Linked DNA regions of Notamacropus eugenii. The protein of the gene in region 1 interacts with the protein of each later gene in a pairwise test. Links are inferred from orthologs where the notes say so. Each region holds a gene or a part of one and is shown on either strand. Other genes may lie near its edges.

Region 1 (10,521 bases):
AGGCAGGATTTTAGTCAAAAAGTCAGCTGAAGTATTTACCTGGCACTGGACGAGGCACTGGAAATAGAAACCAAATGGGTCTTGCCCAGTGAACCTGACACCAAACCAGGCTGACTTTTATGTTTATGTAACACTGCTTAGCGCAGGGTCTGGAACATAGTAGACACTTAATAAATTTTTATTGACTGTTGGTCGGTGTATCAACATGTCAGGGATCTGTAAATTCACTAGGATAGGACACAGCAGGACCTTTCTATAGTACGGAATGTGAGTCTTGGAGAGGAATCTGAACCGTGGAGCAAAGGAGAACCTGGTCCATGGTTTAATAAGGGCCAGGTGGATTTGAACCCAGGACTTTCTGACTGCAGTTAAGCCTGGCATCCTATCTTTACTGCCTTTTATTAAAGAGACCTGGAATACTTCCCTCCTGTCAGAAGAGAGGTGGGGGTTGGCCAGTGCAGAATGGGGCCTGTGCTGCTTGACAAGGTCTTCCACTGAGTTTGTACAGAGAATATGGAGAGAGGTGGGTAAGGTGATAGCACCTATGGGTGAACTGGGAACAGCAGACTGTAAGCCCTCTGAGGAGGAGTCTCATTTTGGGCTGTCTTTGCCCCAGCAAAGGCATCATCATAGAGGAGATTTCTTTAGGGCCTAGGTTGGGTTTCATGGCCACCAAGGTAGCTTCCAATTTTCAATCTATAATTCTGAGAGTGTTTTGTTGCTACCTATTCTCTGCTGAAAGGGAGGATTTGTTGACATCGATAATAATAAAAAAGATGCCTGATTAGAGGCATTCCTTTGTGCGGTAGGTTCATTTTTACTCTGTGGTAAATGAAGATAAAATTGACTATCATTGATCCTATTCAAATGGGGCTTTCTTCTCTTTTATGACGTAGCACCTCCTGTCTGGCCCCCAGCTCAGGCTTTCAATCAAAAGTCTCCATTCAAGGAAGTGAGGATGTTCATTTAGACTGAGTAGGATATTCACCAGAAAAAGACTCTCCTACTACCCCAAGTATAGAAGTAAAGAAAAACTCATTGAGTTGAATAGAGGGTAACCTTTCATTCTGGGCTTCTTTATAAATAATTAATCCTAAGATCTCAGAGAATACTGTGTACGCACATGCATGCGTATCTGTGTGTATATATGTACATATGCAAATGGATATATGTGTATGTACACACAAATAAACATATACACACAAAATATACATATATAGTGTTTTATGTATATTAATTCAGAATTTTAAAATTTTTAGTAGAGTGAAATCTAGCATTTTTGAAAACTTGGCTGTTTAAGCCGAGGGGGGTCATTTTAGACAATAAAGACTTAGCTTCTTAAAGTGGAAAGACTGACAGAGTTAAAATCCCCTCTCTATCATTCACTCCCTCCGTGGCCTTGGGCAAGCACCTTGGCCTCTCTGGACCTTGGTTTCTTCATTTGTAAAATGAAAGAGTTGGTTTAGATGGTTTCTGAGGCCCCTTCCACCTCTAGATCTAAAACTCTATGGCGCTTCATCTCCATGGGCCTCAGTTTCCACACATGTAAAACGAAACCTGATGAATTTTTCTTCTGCTCTTCTTTTTATTTTTGAAAGATGGGAGCCCCAGAGAGTCAAGTGCTTAAATAATTACAAAGGCACAGCTTTCCTTATTTCTCACACTTGCCTTTGATTATTGGTGATTGGAAACAAGAAAGAAAGAATCCCAGAAGAGACCCTTGTTGCTCCAAAATTATCTAGGGAGCGATGTCTCCAACTTATAAAAAGTTTTCCACTCCCAAAAAGGGAGAAAAAATGAGGTGGAGGGCACTAAAAGTTGCCTTCTGCCATTAAACCTCTGGTCTCATGTAGACTAGCATGCTTTGGGTCATGCTCCTGGGAAATCTCAGTGGACAGTGATTCTTGTTGAGGCAGAGGTTAGACCAGATGGCCTTTGGGAGGTCACTTCCAATTCTGAAAAATTGAACACATATTTTCTGTAGATTTAAAGTTACTGTACAAAATGTAAGTCAGCAAAGTCTTATTCCTGGACCTTCCTCCCCTGGAGGAAGGATGATGGCTTCTAACAGCTGGTCCAAGGTCTTCACCCAAGGGATTCCACTTGCTCACTGTCTCCTACCCTTATGACCTCCCAAGTCAGATTCCAGCTGCTTCTTAGAACACATCTTTAGATAGTGCCCAAAGTCCAGCCAGCTAAATAACATTTATTAGCATTAAGTTGGCTCTGGAAAATGAGATATAAGCCTGGTCCATGGTAGCCCACTTCACTAGGAAGTTCAAAGCCTTCTCCCAGGAGTGTTCATTTAGAATCAAACCAAACTAGAAGTCCCTTCCACACACACACACACACACACATACATACATACATACATACATACATATATATGATGGACTGGATTTGAGGTCCTCTGAGGTGCCTTACAACTCTAGGTCCAGTTAGGAAGACCAGGGTTTGAATCACACCCAAGACACTTCGGAGGGATGGGACTCAGCAGTTAATCTTAATGAATTGGTCTCCTGCTCTGTAAAATGAGAAGACTGGACTCAATGCCTTCTGAGGTGCCCATGATCTCAAAATTTAGGATCACTTAAGCTGTCATTTTGCCAGTGCAGATAACTCCTAGTGTGAGCATTTCTGTCACTACTTCAAATCACAACTCATTCATCCATTCATTCAACACATGGGGTCACTAGCACTGCTTTGACTTAAATGGCTTTCTTTGACCACAAGTAAGGTTTCAGTGGTTGGGGGCATGGTGGGGTGGGAGGAAATGGTATAAATACAAAACACAACAATAAAACTAAAATAGACCAATAGAGGATGAGTCATTTATTCACTTTCCTTCTTGATGGAGTCTCTAGACTGGCAGGTTGCAAGCAGAACTTACCTCATTTCCAGCTTAGCTTTAGACCAAAAGCTTCTCCCTTCTTCCTGAGGAGGACATGAGGTGTGTTCTAAGTGTCCATCCTGTAGGCTGGGATGATTCAGAATTGGTTGACTGGTCTGTCCCAAAGGATACACTTGTGTGGTTTAATGTCAACTCAGAAAGAGGTCTCTAGGGAGAAGGGATTCTCTCCCAAAGGAGAGAACCCCCCAGAACCTCCATTTTGTGTCTAAATGAAGGCCATCCATCCACACCTTGCCCCTACTTGGACACATCCTCATGCCGCATCATGCTTTTAGCTCCTTTTATGTGCTCTCTTCCCCCATTAGAATATAAGCCCCTTGAGATAGGGACTCTCTTTTTGCTTTTATTTGTTTCACTACTACTTAGCACAATTCTTGATAATACAACAAGAGCTGAATAAATGCTTTGTTGAACTGATTCAAAAGTATATCATGGGAACCACAAAAGGACTCCTCTACCATTTTCTAACCCACCAGCCCCTGCCCTTCCACTCCTCCAAACTAGACCTCCAAAGCCACTCCTTTCCATTTTCTACCCAGAAAGCTGGTTAACTTTAAGGAAATCAATGGGCCTATCACCTCTGAGAAGGGCCCATCCATTGGTGGCTCCATGGCTCTCTTATCAATCTCTGAAACCTCCCAGACTCTAACTTCCTTCCCTGGCTGCCTATCTCTGACAGGTGTGAAAGGGCAGTGCTGGAGGCAGAAAAACCTGAGTTCAAATTCAGCCGCAGATACTTCCTTGACGAGATTAATAAAATTAAGTATCATAATCAAATTCATAAATAAAAATAGGAGATGGATTTATGAAGGAAAAAATAGGCAGACTCTTGGCTAGTTTGATTTGAAAAAGAGAGAAAAAAATCAAATCACTAGTACTAAAAATGAAAAAGCCAAATATACCACTAAAGAAGATGAAATTAAGGCAGTTATAAAGAGCTATTTTCCCCAATTATATGTCAATAAATTTGATATTGTAAATGAAATGGATTCTAGCCCTAACCCTAAAGAATATTTATAAAAATATAAATTGCCTAGATTGGCGGAAGAGGAAACAGAATATCTAAATAGGCCTGTTTTAGAAAAAGAAATTCAGCTTGCCATAAATGAGCTTCCTAAGAAAAAAAACACCAGGACCAAACAGATTTACAAGCAAATCCTATCAAACATTTAAAGATCAACTAATTCCAATATTAAATAAATTATTTGGCACAATAGGCAAAGAAAGTGTGTGACCAAACTCCTTTTGAGACAAATATGATACTGACATCTAAACCAGGAAGAGTAAAAGCAGAGAAAAAAAATAACAGAACAATTTCAATAACGAATACAGATGCAAAAATCCTAAATAAAATGCTCGGTAAAAGATTGGAACAATATATTACAAAGATTATACATTATGAGCAAGTGGAATTTAAGCCAGGAATGCAGGGATGGTTTAACATAAGGAAAATTATTAACTTAATTGATTATATTAATAATAAAAGTTTAAATAGTCTCCTAGCATTTATAAAGCATTTTGTTTGCAAAGAATTTTACAATAACCCTGGGAGGTGAGAACTATAGTTATACCTATTTTACAGATAAGGAAACTGAGGCAAAGATATCAAGCAACTTGCCTGGGGTCACACACATCATAAGCAGACCCAAGGTCAGAACTGAACTCCATACTTCATGACTCCAGGGCCAATGCTCTATCCACTGAGCTACTCAGCACCCCTGGTAATATTTGACACTCAGATATTTGCAGAATAGCAGTCATTTCTAGAGGCTAGAGAACTAACACCTGGGAGCTCAGGAAGGGTATCACATGGAAAACTGCACCTGAATTGTACATAGAAGGGAGTGAGAGACTAAAAGAGGCAGAGGTGAGGAAAGCAACACACCCTGGCAGGGGGCACAGCCTGTGGAAAGGCTCATAGGTGGGATATGCAATGTTTCATGCAGCAAATCACTAGTAGCCAATTTAAGTAGAGCAGAGGATAAGTGAAGAAACATCATCTGAAAGGGACTTTCTTGAGCTTAAATCCAGCCTCAGACACTTACTAGCTATGTGACCCTAGGCAAATCACTTAACCTGCTTGCCTCAATTTCCTCATCTGCAAAATGGGCTGGAGAAGGAAATGATAATTCACTCCAGTATCTCTGCCAAGAAAACCCAGATGGGGTCATGAAGGGTATGAAACAACTGAACCACAACAATAAATCAATTCAATCCCATCCAGACGAGAAATGGTTAGAGATTGCTTCAGCAAGGCAGGGACTGTGTAAGTACAGAGACTGGGGTGGCGAAATTTGGTGCAAGGGACGTTGTGAAGGGCAAATTGATGATCTGGTGAACATGCAATAAGCAACGGAAAAGTAAAACACTTTTAGAAACTTCTCAATAACAGAGTCACCTCCTAAGTTCAGCCTTTGGCTGAGTTTTCCCAGTATCCAGTTTTTGGATCACAAGTTTCAGCTGCCAGAGAAAAGGTCTGGGATGGGAAATGATTTCTTTGTACAGGATTGGTTGCCTAAGGCTACATCAGCATAGCAAGAACCTCTGAATCACTTGGTCCAGTTTTTTTTCAATTCAACAAAAGAAATCTCCAAAAGGGGAGGGAAAAAAAAGCCACAAACCCCAGCAGTGTCCTCCAGTCCCCAAAGTCTATCCAATCACATCAAGACAAATCAGCCTTCAGACAAATCCACAGTTTTGATTTAAGCTTACCTGGACTTGGCCATGTGCCCAGGTCCTCAAAACCCCCATCAAATGCCCATGCATGGATATTTTTAAATGTGCATAAACTAAACAATTGTTTTCTTTGTGGGTTATTAAAGAGGGGGGAGTCTGTTAGCCAAGGACAGTTCGATCTTTGGGGGCAAAGAGTAGCTGATTTCCTGGTTAGCTATACGTAAATGCTAGGCTGGTGGGTGGGATCGGGTGTGCTCAGGTGCATAAATAGAGACTCTCAGCACACCTACACTCAGAACTTTGGAACAGGTTCCTGGCTCTTCTAGCAAGTGCACGTGGGAGGGGCAGCAGGTAAGCCTCCTGTTCTTGCTTTCCTATAGATAGAGATGTGCACCTGGCAGGAAGGGAGATTCCTGGGAGAAGCTGGAGGCAGTAAACAGGCAGTGCAGATCCAGGCTGTGTCCAGGACGATGGTCCTTGGATTGTGCTACTGGGGTCATGGAAATGACTAGGACCCTTCTGAGCAGCGGAGGATTTGGTTGAGGCTACCATCTCCAGACACAGAAAGGATGCTACCAGTCACTTTCTTCAGTTGGCTGAACCAAAACATCCCAGTTCTCCAGAAGAATCTTTGATGCCAGACGATTTTCCATGTGTAAAAGGGCTAAATGCTAGAATTTCACTTTCATTAATCCTTTGCTTTTTAAATTTCATTTATTTGATTACAAAATCAATGCTGATAAACAAAGACAATCTGGCTTCTGCTCTGGTCAGGCAAGCTTGAGTGTGGTTTTGTGCCCAATTTAGGACACATGATTTCTACCTGTATATTGCAAATAGACATTCTTATTGCCCACTTCCTCTGCTGTGATAGTAACACCAGGCATTTTGTCAGGCTCTGGCACAGTTAAGTTGGAAGGGGTGAAGCAGGTGAGGGTCCTGGAGGGCACCAAAGTGTTAGCAGAAATGCTTGCCAAGCACCCCTCCCAAGAACATGAGGACAATGGTGGCCTGCTGGCTCTTAAGGAGTCTTCATCCCTACTCTGGGAGTGTGCACGCGTACATAGCAACGGATGAATGTGACCCAACAAAGCAATATTTTTATAAGGTGGTGACCACTTATAAAAACGCCTTTGCAGGAAGCTTGCCAAGCACAGTTCTTTTGGATTTGAAGGGATCTTGACATTGTAGAGCTCAGGAAGTGTCTTTGAAAGAGGAAGTGTACCCAGAGAATTCAGTTAGATCCCAAACATTCAGTTTTAGTTTTTGTTATCACCTTCATCAGGGGCAGCTGGGTATCACAGTGGATAGAGTGCCAGGACTGGAGTTAGGAAGACTCATCTTCCTGAAATCAAATCTGGCCCCAGACACTTGGTAGCTGTGTGACCCTGGACATGTCACTCCTGAACTGGAGAAGGAAATGATAAACCATTCCAGAGTCTCTGGCAAGAAAACCCCAAATGGGGTCGGAACAGTCAGGCAAGAACGTAAAATGACTAAACACCATCACTATCACCCAGCACAGTGCCTAGAACACAGCAGGTGCCTCACAAGTGCTTATCCAGCGTACTTCTCTGAGCGAACCTTCCTGAAAGGAAGACGGAACGAGGATTTACTATGTGCCAACCACTTTGCTAAGCATTCTATCAATATTATCCTCTGACCCTCACAGCAACCCTGGGAGGTGGGTGCTGTTATTATCCCCATTTAGCGGTTGAAGAAACTGAGGCAAACAGCAGTTAAGTACTTTGTCCAAGGTCACATAACTGTAAGTGTCTGAGGCCAGAGTTGAACTTAGGTCTTCCTCCAGGCCCAGCCCTCTATCAGCTTCCCCAAGTCACAGCCCCCAGAAGGTAAATAGAACGTAGGAGCTTGAGCATCTTGGTGAGGCGAAGGGAAAGAGATCTCTGAGAGCTCTTTGTCTGTTCAGGAATTAGGGAATATGGCTTTCCTTTTCTTTTTCTTTCTTTCTTTCTTTCTTTCTTTCTTTCTTTCTTTCTTTCTTTCTTTCTTTCTTTCTTTCTTTCTTTCTTTCTCTCTTTATTTCTTTCTCTCTTTCTCTCTCTCTTCCTCTCTCTCTTTCTCTCTCTCTTTCTTTCTTTCTCTCTTTCTTTCTCTCTTTCTCTCTTTCTTTCTCTCTCTCTCTCTTTCTCTCTTTCTCTCTTTCTTTCTTTCTTTGTTTCTTTCTTTCCTTGTTTCTTTCTTTCCTTCTTTCCTTCTTTCTTTCTTTCTTTCTTTCTTTCTCTCTTTTTTTCTTTCTCTCTTCCTCTCTTTCTTTCTTTCTCTCTTTCTTTCTTTCTCTCTTTCTTTCTTTCTCTCTTTCTCTCTTTCTCTCTTTCTCTCTTTCTCTCTTTCTTTCTTTCTCTCTTTCTTTCTTTCTTTCTTTCTTTCTTTCTTTCTTTCTTTCTTTCTTTCTTTCTTTCTTTCTTTCTTTCTTTCCTTCTTTCTTTCTTTCTCTCTTTTTTCCTGTGTAAGTAAAAAAGCATCCTGTGGTGCTTGGAATTGAAAACAATTGACCACTGAAGAGGAGAGGAGGGGAAAATGCATCTCTCCCTTCTTTGCAAAGGTTGGAGACAATGGGTGTGGTCCACTGCATACATGCCCAGAGGCCATTGATGCATTTCCCAATTTTCTTTTGCTTTCTTCTATCCCTTTTTTCTATTCTTTGCTATCAGAGGTGGCACTTTTAGAAGGGGGAAGGATAGTGATATATTTGGAAATTAAATGGTGTAAAAACAATCCTACATTTTCAGAAAAGAAAACAATGGTGAATTTAAGAACGGTATGTGATTATCTGAAATCAGAAACGAGCAGGAGATCATTCTATCAGCTGGTGCTGCACCAAGATTCATGTTCCAAATAATGACTCTCACAAGCTCTGCCATCTGCCATCTTTTGGCAGTGCAATTAATTCTGTATGCATTTGATCAAGTTCAAAATTATATCCACCTGAGAATTATAAGCTTCATGTGGGAAAGGTACTATGTTCTTCAGAGACAAGGGCTGGACTCAGGCTCAGGGGCCCTGAGTTTGAATTCCATCTGAGGAATTCTATGCACTAGCTGTGAGACCCTGGGCAAGTCACTTAGCCCCAGGGGATCAGTTTCCTTATCTGTAAAATGGAGATAATGATATTCATAGTACCTACTTCACAGGGTTTATTGAGCAAACTTTAAAGGGTCATTGAGGGGGCACTATGAGATCAATGTTTGACCAGATCTCTGAGGCTTCCAGAAGAGCAGACTTACCCCCGATCCTTCACCAACTCACTCGTCCACCTTCCCTTACCATTCATTTGACTCTGATGTTCTAGAGTAAGGAGCCCAGCATTTCCTATAAGCAAGGTTTGGAATATTCTAGACTATAGTTAAGAAAGCTGTATTAATGCTGGTCCTATAAGGCACAGGAACACACAGAGAGTCTTAGCATTTCAGAATCAGAAGAGACCTTTTTGGGTTGTATCATCTCCATGAAGAGTAGAAATAGACTGGGCCACCTCCTTTGAGAAACCTCTCCTTCCAAGTGCCCTTCTCTCTCTCTGTCTCTCTCTGTCTCTCAGTGTCTCTGTTTCTGTCTCTCTCTGTCTCTCTCCCCCTCAATTATTTTTGTACTCTATTTGTGTGTGTGCATGTTCTGCCCCCTCATAAAAGATAAGCTCCTTGGGATCAGGAATGGTTTTGGGGGCTCCCATATTCCCAGAACCTCGTAGAAGTGTTTTGTCCATATTTGTTGATTTTAAAAACACGTTTCTGAGTTGAATAGGATGGAAGTAATACAATTGTCTGTCTCTAAATGAAACATCTGCCGCCTTTCCGTTCCTAACACTGATGCTTTGCTTTTGGATAAAGCTCCTTCATTTATCCCCAGTAGTGGCTTTCACCAAAAACAAAGAGGAATAAAAGAAAATGAAGAAGATTATGAGAATGACGGAGGTGATAACAAAGATAATACTGGATGTATTAATGACAATGATGATGGGTGGAGATGATGTGGAGGGGGATGCTTCTGATGGTGATGGTCATGAGGATGGTGGGGGCCTCTAATGGTGTTGATGGGGGCAATGATGATGATAATGATGGCAATGAGAAGGAAAGAGAAGGAAGAGAAAGAAGAGGAAAAAGAGGATGCTTGTGACAATCCTGGTGGGATTTTTATGGTGTTGATAGGGATGACAATGGCAACAAGGAAGATGGTGGTGATGATGGTAAAGGCCATGACAATAGGATAACAACTGTGATGATGGTAATGGCAATATTGATGATAATGAGGAGTATGTGTTTCTGATGATGCTGCTGCTGATGGAGATGGTGGCAGTGATTACCCAAGTAATGGTGATCATGACTCATGCCAACAGATGCTTTAATGGAATTGTGGGAAGCACTTTCCTCATAACAACTATTGAAGTAATTAATTTGGGAATTATTATCCCTGTATTACAGATGAGGAAACTGAGGCCCAGCAAGGTGAACTGACCTGTCTTATGATCACACAGCCATAGAGCAGAAGAAGAGGGGAGAGGTTCCAGATTATTATCATAGAGTAGAATCATTGGTATATTTTTAAAAGATTATTGAAATCAAACTGAGTACCCTGTTGAGACCCGTGATCAGAGACCACAGTGCCTGAGATCATGAGTGAGGTGAAATTCCACTTCCTTGGCAGAGTAGACCAGCAAAGGCAGGCTATACACCCAGCCAAGCCCACTTTCTGCAGCTCCTTGGGTCTTAATCTGAGATTTTGAAAAGTCATTCACCTTTCTTTCCTCCTCCTCCTCCTCCTCCTCCTCCTCCTCCTCAGCATTCGCCATGGAGAAGATGTCAGTGTCCATGTTCCTGCTCCTGGTAGCCATTTCTCACACGCTGGCCAAAGAGATTACATCCAAACCTGGGGCAAAGCAGGAAGAAACTCGTACCAAGCTGCCTCAGACCCTCTCT
Region 2 (10,678 bases), on another chromosome or scaffold:
CCCCTGAAGCATTATACTTACTTTTGCTGGGTAGGTGATTCTTGGTTTTAGTCCTAGTTCCTTTGACTTCTGGAATATCATATTCCATGCCCTTCTATCCCTTAATGTAGAAGCTGCTAGATCTTGTGTTATCCTGATCGTATTTCCACAATACTTGAATTGTTTTTTTCTAGCTGCTTGCAATATTTTCTCCTTGACCAGGGAACTCTGGAATTTGGCCATAATGTTCCTAGGAGTTGCTCTTTTTGGATCTCTTTCAGGCGGTGATTGGTGGATTCCTTGAATACTTATTTTGCCCTCTGGTTCTAGGGCTCCTCCCCCCCTACACAATTTTTTAAAGAATCGCCTCATCACACTTAGCTCAGCCCAAGCCTTTCTTTCAAACTACCCCAATAAACGTGGCCCTCCTAAAAGAACTCATAATATTTTCATGCATAAGAAGTGTACAATTTCGCTTGAGTCCCATGTAATTGATAGTTAATGTTTACTTTACATTTCTCCTGTTAGTTCTGTTTTTGTCACAAATATCTGAAAGTCCCCCCCATTGAGGATGATACTTGCCTTCACTGGGTAAGTAAGTTACCCTTGATTGCAATCCCAGCTCTTTTGTTCGGCAAAATAAAGTATTCTAAGGTCTATAGTCCTTCAACATCATAGCTACGAGGACTTGTGTAATCCTTATTGCAGCTTCATGATATTTCAATTGTTTTATTCTTGTTCCTTCCAATATTTTTTGCTTAACCTGAAACTTTGAAATGTGACTATGATATTCTGGTAAGTTTTCCTCTTGGAATCTTTTTCAGGTGGTGATGGGTGGGTTATTTTCTATTTCTGTTTTGCCATCCTGTTCTTGAACTTCAGGGCAATTTTTCTTGATCATTTCTTGTAATATTGTATCAATATTCTTTTTTAGTTATAATTTTCAGGAAGTCTGTATTTTTATATTATTTCTCCTCAATCTAGTCTCTAGATAAGTTGTTTTTCTGAAGAGATGTTTCACATTTTCTTCTATTTTTCATTCTTTTGATCTTGTTTTATTATTTCTGTATATCTTAGAATGCCATTAGTTTCACTTTGCCCTATTCCAGTTTTCAAGGAAATATTTTTTCCTTGATTTTTGATTCTCTATTTCAAATTGGTTGACTTTCTTTTCAAAATTTTCTTGATTTTCTTGGATGGTCCTTATTTTTTTTTTCTTCAAAATTTTCTTCCATCTCTCTTATTTGATTTTTAAAGTCCCTTCTAAAAGCTAAGAAATCTTTTTGTGCTTGGGATCATTTGATGTTTTTCATTGAAAAAGGAGTGGATTTTTTAGCTCCATTATCTTCCTCTGAATGTGAACACATATCTTCTCTATTCCCATAGTAGTTACCCATGTTTGGGTTCTTGATCATTAGTTTGCTCATTTTTATTCATTTTATTTGTTTGTTTCTAGCAACTGAGTGAACTAATAGAGTTCTAGTCCTAAGGTATGGGTAATAATACCCTAAGCCTCAGGTCCTTATTATTGCTCTTTTCTGAGGTCTCTCAACTTTGGGCTCTCCTCTTCACTCCCAAACCACTGTGAGAGCCCCCATCACAGTGTCCTACAAATGATCTTACTCCCTGTGGTCCCTCCAGTGGCTGCAAACTGTAGTTGTCCTCTCTTACCTGGAACTAAAACCAGGTCCTCTGGTACCCACAGTCAGCACTGCTACTGCACTCACCCAGTGTATGTTAGCTCCTTCTCCCCACAACCATAGTCCAAGACGTGTCTGGTCAGCACAGCGGCACTTGGTGTTGCTCAACAGTGGAAGGTCCTTCAAACTTCTCTTACTCAGCCATCAGACCTGAGATGAAAGTTTCTAAGACTGGGGCTGCCTGGAAACCTCAGCTGCCCCCAGGACTTGTAGTTTGTTGATTCTGCAGAGTTGACCTAGAGGTGTTTGCACTTCACCCAGGCTGACCTCTGTTCTGGAAGCTAGGTCTTTTCCTGGGGTCTTCTTAGGTTTTCTTAGGAGAACAACTGCTTTACTCTGACCTTTTTAAAAAAATTCTGCTCCTTTGCAGCAGAATTCCCTCTGAGGAAGTGTCTTTTTCTGTGGAGGAAATTTGGAGAACCGAAAGTTTTCTGACTTCCTCCACCATCTTCCCCAAATCCTCTCCCAGCACAATTTCTTTTTAAAAAAGCTGTTTTATTTTTTCTTTTAAAAATAATTTATTTATTTTTAGTTTTCAACATTCACTTCCATAAGATTTTGAATTTTAAATTTTCTCCCCTTTCTTTCCTTCCCCCCTCCCCAAGATGGCATTTGATCTGATATAGATTACAATGTACATTCATATTAAATATATTTTCACATTTGTCATGTTGTAAAGAAGAATTAGAATCAATGGAAGAAACCACAAAAAAGAAGAAATAAACAACAAAAACGGAGAACAAATGGTATGTTTCCATGTGGATTAAGACTTTGTAATTCTTTCTCTGGATGTGGACAGCATTCTCCATCATGAGCCTTTTGGAGTTGTCTTGGGTCATTATATTGCAGAGAAGAGCTAAGTCTATCAAACCTAGTCTAACAACTAGGTTTGAATTGCATTATGAATATTTTTCTCAATCATTTTCTTAACCCTAGACAGTTAATAAAACTATACATCAAACCCTGATTTGTAGTTTGCTAATTTATGTAGTGTAGATGCTCACACTAAAAATTTAACAATAGGTTCTTGGTATGATCAGGATCCTTAGTGAAAACAGATGCCAAGTCCTTTCTCATTCTGCCCTGCTCTGAGTCTGGGATTAAGTGGGGGGGAGGGAGAAGAGGGGGGTTATTAGCAAATAGAAAACACTTCAAAGATTTCGAGTTTGCCCTTCTTAGTCCACATTCCAACAGATTCCCTTTGCCTTTTTTCAGTTGCTGCCATTTCTTCCCACAGGGCACTGACCTTCTGGGATGGGCTGGTACTGACTGGAAGGATGATTATAAAATTTGATTGCTCTTGAATCTACTGAAATCTTTGCAGATAAGAAAGAGAAACAAACCAACTGTGAGATAGTGATCATCCTTCTGCTAGCAGATACAAAGTGCAATCTAAATAAACTCTAATTCTTAGTTTATCTGTCTCCCATTGCATCCTGGGCTATCTCCAGTCATCCTGATGTATATCAGGCCACTGGACCCTAATGGCTCTGGAGAAGAAAGTGAGGTTGGTAACCTTGCACAGTTCTCTGCCTCACTCAAATCAGTCAATTGAAAGGCATGTCATCATCTCTTGGAGAATGAAGGACAAAGCACACACAATCCAACCATTTATTCACATTCAAATTAGCCTCCCTATTTGAGTCTTTTCACCCCTCGTAATCCATTCTCCTATTCTGAGTCTTTCTCCCCCTTGACAAAACTGCCAAACTGATATTCCTAAAACACAAATTTGGTGTTCAGTTGTGCCCAACTCTTCATGACCTCGTTTGGGGTTTTCTTGGCAAAGATACTTGAGTGGTTTGCCATTTCCCTCTCTAGCTCATTTTACAATTGAGGAAACAGAGGCAAACAAAGTTAAGTGACTTGCCCAGGGTCACACAGCTAGTGAGTGTCTGAGGCCAGATTTGAACTCAGGTCTTCCTGACTCCAGACTTGGCACGCTATTCAGAACTCTTCCATGGCTCCCTATTGCCTCTGAAAGAAAATGTATCTTCAGCCCTTCACTTAAAACCCTCTGCAGAAGTCAGTGACAAACCATTAAACTCAAAAATATTCCAATCATTAGAATATTAGCAGCTTAGATCACAAAGTAAATAACTTTACTCAAATGAGACTTTGAGAGGAAAAGCACCCTGAAAAAATGCAATATTATAGAACTAACAAACTCAGCAATTCAATGGAGTAATAAGAAGAAATATAACAATAGCCAAAAGACTGAGAAATGAAAGGGACAAATAAGATATCTACTACAAAAAAACTGACCTGGAAAACAGGATGAGTAGAGACAATTAAAAATCATTAAATTTGGAAGTACAGCCAAGATGGTGGAGAAAAGGCAGCAGCTTACCTGAACTCTTGCCCAAACCCCTCTGAATGCCTTTAAATAATGCCAAGGGACAGTTCCTGAAGAGGCAGAAGCCTCCAAAGGGTGGGGTGGAAGAATGTTCCAGCCAAAGACAACATGGAACTTCAACAGAAAAGATCTGTTGTGCCAGGGCTCTCACCCTTACTTAGCTCCTTCCAGATGCATATTCTTCCCTTCTCTTCTATGCTTGTGCCTCAAAGGGAGTGCAGCGCTGACCAGGCCTCAGTAAACCAGAAGTAGGGATTGGGAGCCACTGAATCAGCAGCAGCTGCTTCCGGAGCTCTCAGCCCACAGACGGTAATGGGGCTGAACAACCAGTCAGAAAGAGATTGCAGTGGTCTTGTTGCAGCTGCAGTGGAGCAGGAGCCCTTGCCTTTCTAGGGCAGAAAAGAGCGCTTGTGGTCACTCACAGAACAGAGCACAGGCTAGGAGAAGAGTAAACGTACTTCTCTTTAGATCATACCATAGCAGGGTAAAATAGAAATTCAAAGAATCCACCAATCATCTTCTGAAAGAGATCTCCAAATGAAGATTCCCAGGAATGTTATAGCCAAATTCCAGAGCTCCTAGGCCAAGGAGAGAATCTTGAAGGTAGCCAGAAAGAAATAATTCAAGTATCATGGAGCCACAGTCAGGATAACACAAGATTTAGCAATTTTTCCATTAAAGAATGGGAGGGCTTGGAATATGATATGCCAGAGGGTAGAGGAACTAGGATTCCAACCAAGAATCACTTACCCAGCAAAACTGAGTATAATCCTTCAGAGGGGAAAATGGATATTTAATGAAATAGAGGATTTTCAAGCATTCTTGATGAAAATACTAGAGCTGAGTAGGAAAATTTTATTAAAAAGAAGCATAAAAATGTAAAGAGGAAAGGGAAATCATAAGGGTCTTAATAAAGTTAAATTGTTTACATTCATACATGGGAAGTGTTGCTTGTAATTCATAAGAACTTTTTCATTATTAGGGCAGTTAGAAGGACTATATATAGAGGGCAGAGGTGTGAATTGAATATGAAGGGATGACATCTCAGAAAAAATAAGAGTGAGAGAGGAATGTGCTGGGAGAAAGGGAAAGGGACAAATAAAGTAAGGTAAATTATCTCACAAAAAAGAGGTAAAAAAGCTTTTACAGTGGAGGATAAGATGGGGGAGATACAGGGGAGTGAGTGAATATTGAGCAGCATTGGCTCAAAGAGGGAATAACATACACACTTAATTGGGTATAGAAATGCATCTTACCCTACAGGAAAGCAGGAGGGGAAAGGGATAAGAGAAGGGGGGGCAGTGACAGAAGGGAGGGCAGGTTGAGGGAAGGGGTCATCAGAAGCAAAACATCTTTGAGAATGGACAGGGAGAAATGAGAGACAGAATAACAGGGGGATGGGTGTCAAATAGGATGGAGGGAAATACAGTCAACAATAGTAAATGTGAAAAAAAATTTGAAGCAAGTTTCTTTAATAAAGGCCTCATTTCTCAAACATATAGAGAACTGAGTCAAATTCATAAAAATAAGAGCCATTCCCAGTTGATAAAAGATCAAAAAATATGAACAGTTTTCAGATGAAGTAATCAAAGCTATCTATAGCCCTATGAAAAAAATGCTCTAACTCATTATTGATTGGAGAAATGCAAATTAGAACAATTCTGTGGTACTCCCTCATACTTATTAGATTGTCTAATAGGATAGCAAAGGAAAATGATCAATGTTGGAGGGGAGCTGGGAAAAATGATACGTTATGCATTGTTGGTGGAATTGTGAAATGATTCAACCATTCTGTAGAGCAATTTGTAACTATGTCCAAAGGGCCACAAAAGCCTCCATACCTTTTGACTGAGCAATACCACTGTTAGGTCTATATCCCAAAAGAGATTTAAAAAAAAAAAAAGGAAAGGACCTGTATGTATGAAAGTATTTACAACTGTTCTTTTCTGGTGGCAAGGAATTGGAAACTGAGATGCCCATCGTTTTGGGGATGACTGAACAAATTGCACGGAATACTATTTTGTAATAAGAAATGATGAGCAAGAGGCTCTCAGAAAAACCTGGAAAGCCTTACAAGAGCTGATGCAGAGTAAAATGTAAATGTGCTGTGTACAAAGTAACAGCAATATTGTAAGATAATCAGCTGAGAATGAGTTGGCTGTTGTCAGCGATACAAAGATGCAGACAACCCTAAAGACCCTAGGATGAACAATGCGCTCCATCCCTGGGGAAAGAACTTAGGGAGTCTGAAAACAGACTGAAGCAGACTTTTTTAAACTTTCTTTCTTTCTTGAGTTTTTTCCTCTGATTTCTTTCACAACATGACTAATATGAAAATGTTTTGTGTGACTACACATGTATCATGTGAAAAAGAGCAGGGGAAAAAAGCACACAAGTATTACCTGTGCTCATCTTCCTCTATATATCCACTCTCAGTTTCCTTTCTCATATTAATTGAAGTGCTTGATTTTCAGGAAGTCTTATGAAATAACAGCGGGCTCTATTTTCCACAGTCATGGGGAAAGTTTTCCCTTTGTTTCTGGCCAAAGTATTTGAAAAGAACAAGAACATTGTCTACAGCTAAGAGCATGTGGCCTTGAATCTGGGCTGATGGCTAGTGAGTAACTCCCACATTCTTCCTCCTCTATCTTCCTGTCATTCTTTTCCTTTTATTCCAAAAAAAATGGAAACAAATTAGATCACAGTGTGAGGACTGCAAGGCACCAGAGAGGTCATCCAATCTAACTCCCTCATTTTACAGTTGAGGAAATTGAAACTCAGGTAAGTGAAATGACTTACCTAAGGTCATACATGTATTAAGTTGGAGAGACAGGGTTTGAAACCACTTTCTCTGTCTCCAGATCCAGCATGACTTTAGATACATACATAATAAACACACACAAATAGATATGAGTTTCTATAGATATCCATAGACAGATTTAGATATAGACAGACAGACAGATAGATAGATAGGTAGATAGATGTCAAGTACTTGTTTTGTCCTAGGCCCTGTACTCAGAGGAATGAAGATTCAGAGATTAAAAACACAGTCTCTTCCCTAACAGGCAGGTTAGATCCAACCTATACACAAATATATTTGCAAAGGAGGGTGTGATGAGAACAAAGGAGAGATCCAAAGCATTTTGGGAAAATGTAAGGGTGAGCAGAGGGAGAGAATATTAACAATTCATTTTGGCTTAAATCAATTATTTTAATTCATCAAATATTTATTAAGCAGTACTCTGTTTAGATCCTAGGTACAGAGCATACAAAGACAAAACAATCCTTGCTCTCAAGAGACGTATATCCCTAGAGTACGTCATGCACACAGATAAGGAAATCAAAAATCTATACTAAATAAATACAAGGTTATTTTTAGAAGGGAGAGGGGCATGGCAATCACACAGAGGAAGGCAATTTGCCACCAGGAGGTGGCGTGTCCTATCCATGGAACACTTAGCAGGTCATCATGACTGTAAAAGAATGTGCTGCACGTCTAGCAAAGCTGGTAAGAGCCCCAATTGTGGAGAGTTTTAAAGGTCAAAAATGTCTTTGAGCAGGTGGTTCCTGACATGAACAGAGAAGGCACTGGCAGAAATGAGCAGAGTGTGTTCCTGATGTAACAGCCATCTTAGCAAGGCTTATGAAGCTGCAACAAGTCTGGGAGTTGGGTTTCCTCCCAGCCTGGGAAAAGATGAGACTAACGAGAACTAAGCCTGGAGGGTGAGTTTTTTTTCTCCCTGCAGTTGCTTGGAATTCTTAGAAAATCTCAATAGAGATCCATTTTTAAAAGATGTCATTTTGGGAGCAAGAGGTGCAAAGAGGGAGGTGGTGGGTCTTCTTCCAACACACGGAGCATCAGCACAACAGCAGTGACTGGTGGTAGCAATATCAGCAGTTCCCTTCATCTGAGCAAAGCTTCTAAGGGAGAACATGGGAGGTGAAAGGTAGAGAGGCAAAGGGGACACATAAGCTTATGGATCTGTTTTATTGTAGGCACCCAGATGGCTGCCACAGTGGGAGAGACAAAAGACGGGAAGAGCCGACTGTTCTAGCCCATTAGTTCAGATGTATGGGACAGAACCATTCCTAACCATGACTTTTTATTCTGTTAAAGACTGCACCTGACTGATTTCATATTATTTTCCATGAACATCTCCAGTTACATAAACATCTGTAGCTGACCTTCTTCTTGTATTTCCCTTTGTCCCATTCATAGTGGCATGAAGGCACAGGGGCACTCAGGGCAGAGATCTCTCCTGGCACAGGAGCTGGGATGCCATCTGCTGAACCCCTTGTTATCCTGCACCACTTGTATTTCATAACTACACTGCCAAGGACAGAATTACGATGACCTTGGGACCTTTGAAAAATCTGCCTCAGAGGTGGAACCAGTGTGGTGGGAAGGCAGGGAAAAGTAGAGCCAAACTCCTGATAAATTTCCTTCAAAAGCTCTAGAAAACATGGTAGACTGAGCAATGATCAGGAAATCCAAGAAAAATTACAGTGAGTCATGTTTCCATCTCAGATCCACACAGGAATATAGACAAAGATGTCTGTGGACTTTGGGGGCGCACAGTAACTGAAAGAAGACAAGCTTTGCACCAGGGCAAGAAGAGGTCCTAGACCCATATAGGATGTAGATACTTGTGAACTGGCAGCTCCGCCCTTCACTGTAACCCACTTTGGGGTCACAGATCCAGGACAGTCTAAGGAGTGACTATAGAGGTAGAGAGCTCTATGGGTGAGGTTCCAGAGTGAGGAGCCCTCTAGTTCCCAGGTTAGGCATGTTCATGGGCTATGTACTGAGACAGGAACCAGTTCAGAAGAAAACAGTACCTCTGTAACTCTAACTCCAAGAGCAGAGCAGGGTCTCAGTTCCAGCTTCCAGTCCAGTCTGAAGCCTATAGCAACGTAAGCAGGTGCAACGCCAATCACCACGGCACACTTGAGGGCTGCTACTGTGAATCTATATCTATATCTATATCTATCTGTATATATCTACACACATATATATATATGTATGTATATATGTGTGTATGTATATATGTGTGTATGTATATATGTGTGTATGTAAATACGTGTGTATGTATATACGTGTGTATGTATATACGTGTGTATGTATATACGTGTGTATGTAAATACGTGTGTATGTATATACGTGTGTATGTATATACGTGTGTATGTAAATACGTGTGTATGTATATACGTGTGTATGTATATACGTGTGTATGTATAGAAGTGTGTATGTATATACGCATTCACACATATGTGTATATCTATACAAATACATATGTATGTTTAGGATGGAATTGTATGAATATAATAAGTGCTCTATTATTCAAAACTAAACCTTATTCAAGGAATTAAGGCATTCACAATTCATGTCAACGCGGCAGTAGCAATATAAACTGCAGCAGTGCACATATCGCCAGAACGGCCACACGGCCTAGAACAAAACCTATCACTCAGTGTATAACATGACGTAGCCCACCCCCACCTTCTACCTTCTTTGGAGGCCAGAATCTGTGGGGCTTGAGCGACCAGCTCCTCCTCACTCAGGTACTGTCCCAAAATACTGTTTATACAGCGAGGGGTCCCAGGCCAGCGTCTTTCCTAGCACAGCACCCTCCCAGGGGTAGCAGAGAACACAACACACCCCACCCCTAAGTCACAGTAGGTTACAGTCCCCTCAATCCAAACAGAGTGGACAAGTAAAGTCCTCTTGGGAGTGTATTCTTTTCTCCACACTGCCGTTGCAGGCTCCTACCTGGCACTCTTGGGTACATATGCTGTCATGAGCCAGAGTCCAAGTCCTAATACTGCTCCAGCCCCCACTTCCGAGTACTGAGGGACAGTTGGGTGACAAAGCCAATAGGTTGGGTCCCCAGGGGTTGTAATACTTTCCCCATCCCCCCCCCCCCCCATAGACAACTCTACCCCCTGGGTCCCAACCCATCCCTGAGGGATGTAGCAGGGAAGCATGCTCACTGCTCCTGCCTTGCTGCAAAGTTTCCATCTTGACCTGGGGTGGGGGCTGAGTTCCAAGTTCTGTGGTTCTTTCTCCTGCAGGTCTGGGTGCTAACACAGGCAAGTCTCTGCTCCTGTTCCATGTCTCATCTCATGGAGGAATAGACTGCTCCATTCCAAGCTCTCCCTGATTTTACATGGCTCCAGAAACAGCAGTCTCCAGGGGCCCTTGTCCCCAGCTTCTGTCTCTGGCTTATACAACTCAAACTCCAGAGCAGCTCATCCTCCCTCAGCCTCACATAGGGAGGGGCCACTTTGGTCTGGGTTCTGTGCCTAGCACAGTTCCAAGGCCTCCACCCTCCAGCACAGTCTGGGGCAGGGCTACTCCACTTGAGCCCTGATCATGGCCATGACCTTGGCTCTGAGAAGTCAAAAGAAACTCCTCTTATTCCTTTGTTATCTCTACAGGAGCTTTCCCAAACTGGACTTCCACCAGCAACAGCTTTTCAGTACTTTTTCTCACAATAGTTAACATTAACCAAACTACTATACAGGCTACCATAGCTTCTCTCTCAGTGATCTTCTTTCTTTCTTAGAGGTCTCCTCTCTCTACTGACATCATACGCTTGTACAGGGGAAAGGGTCATCACCCAAAAGTGGAGAAAATACATCA

What was found.
Region 2: the proteins of anterior gradient protein 2 homolog (region 1) and FABP2 interact in binary tests that used the Homo sapiens proteins (3 or more experiments, as listed by UniProt). The two-hybrid records come from large-scale screens. The link is inferred for Notamacropus eugenii from reciprocal best matches to the Homo sapiens genes AGR2 and FABP2.

What each region holds. Positions count from the first base shown.
Region 1 is NC_092874.1:9,748,497-9,759,017, reverse strand, and holds the start of anterior gradient protein 2 homolog, read left to right. Parts: upstream 1-5,847; 5' UTR 5,848-5,938; intron 5,939-10,384; 5' UTR 10,385-10,392; coding exon 10,393-10,521. UniProt on the Homo sapiens protein: Required for MUC2 post-transcriptional synthesis and secretion. May play a role in the production of mucus by intestinal cells. Proto-oncogene that may play a role in cell migration, cell differentiation and cell growth. Promotes cell adhesion.
Region 2 is NC_092878.1:164,759,969-164,770,646, reverse strand, and holds the start of FABP2 (fatty acid-binding protein, intestinal), read right to left. Parts: upstream 4,348-10,678; 5' UTR 4,187-4,347; exon of another isoform or gene 4,030-4,186; intron 1-4,029. UniProt on the Homo sapiens protein: FABPs are thought to play a role in the intracellular transport of long-chain fatty acids and their acyl-CoA esters. FABP2 is probably involved in triglyceride-rich lipoprotein synthesis.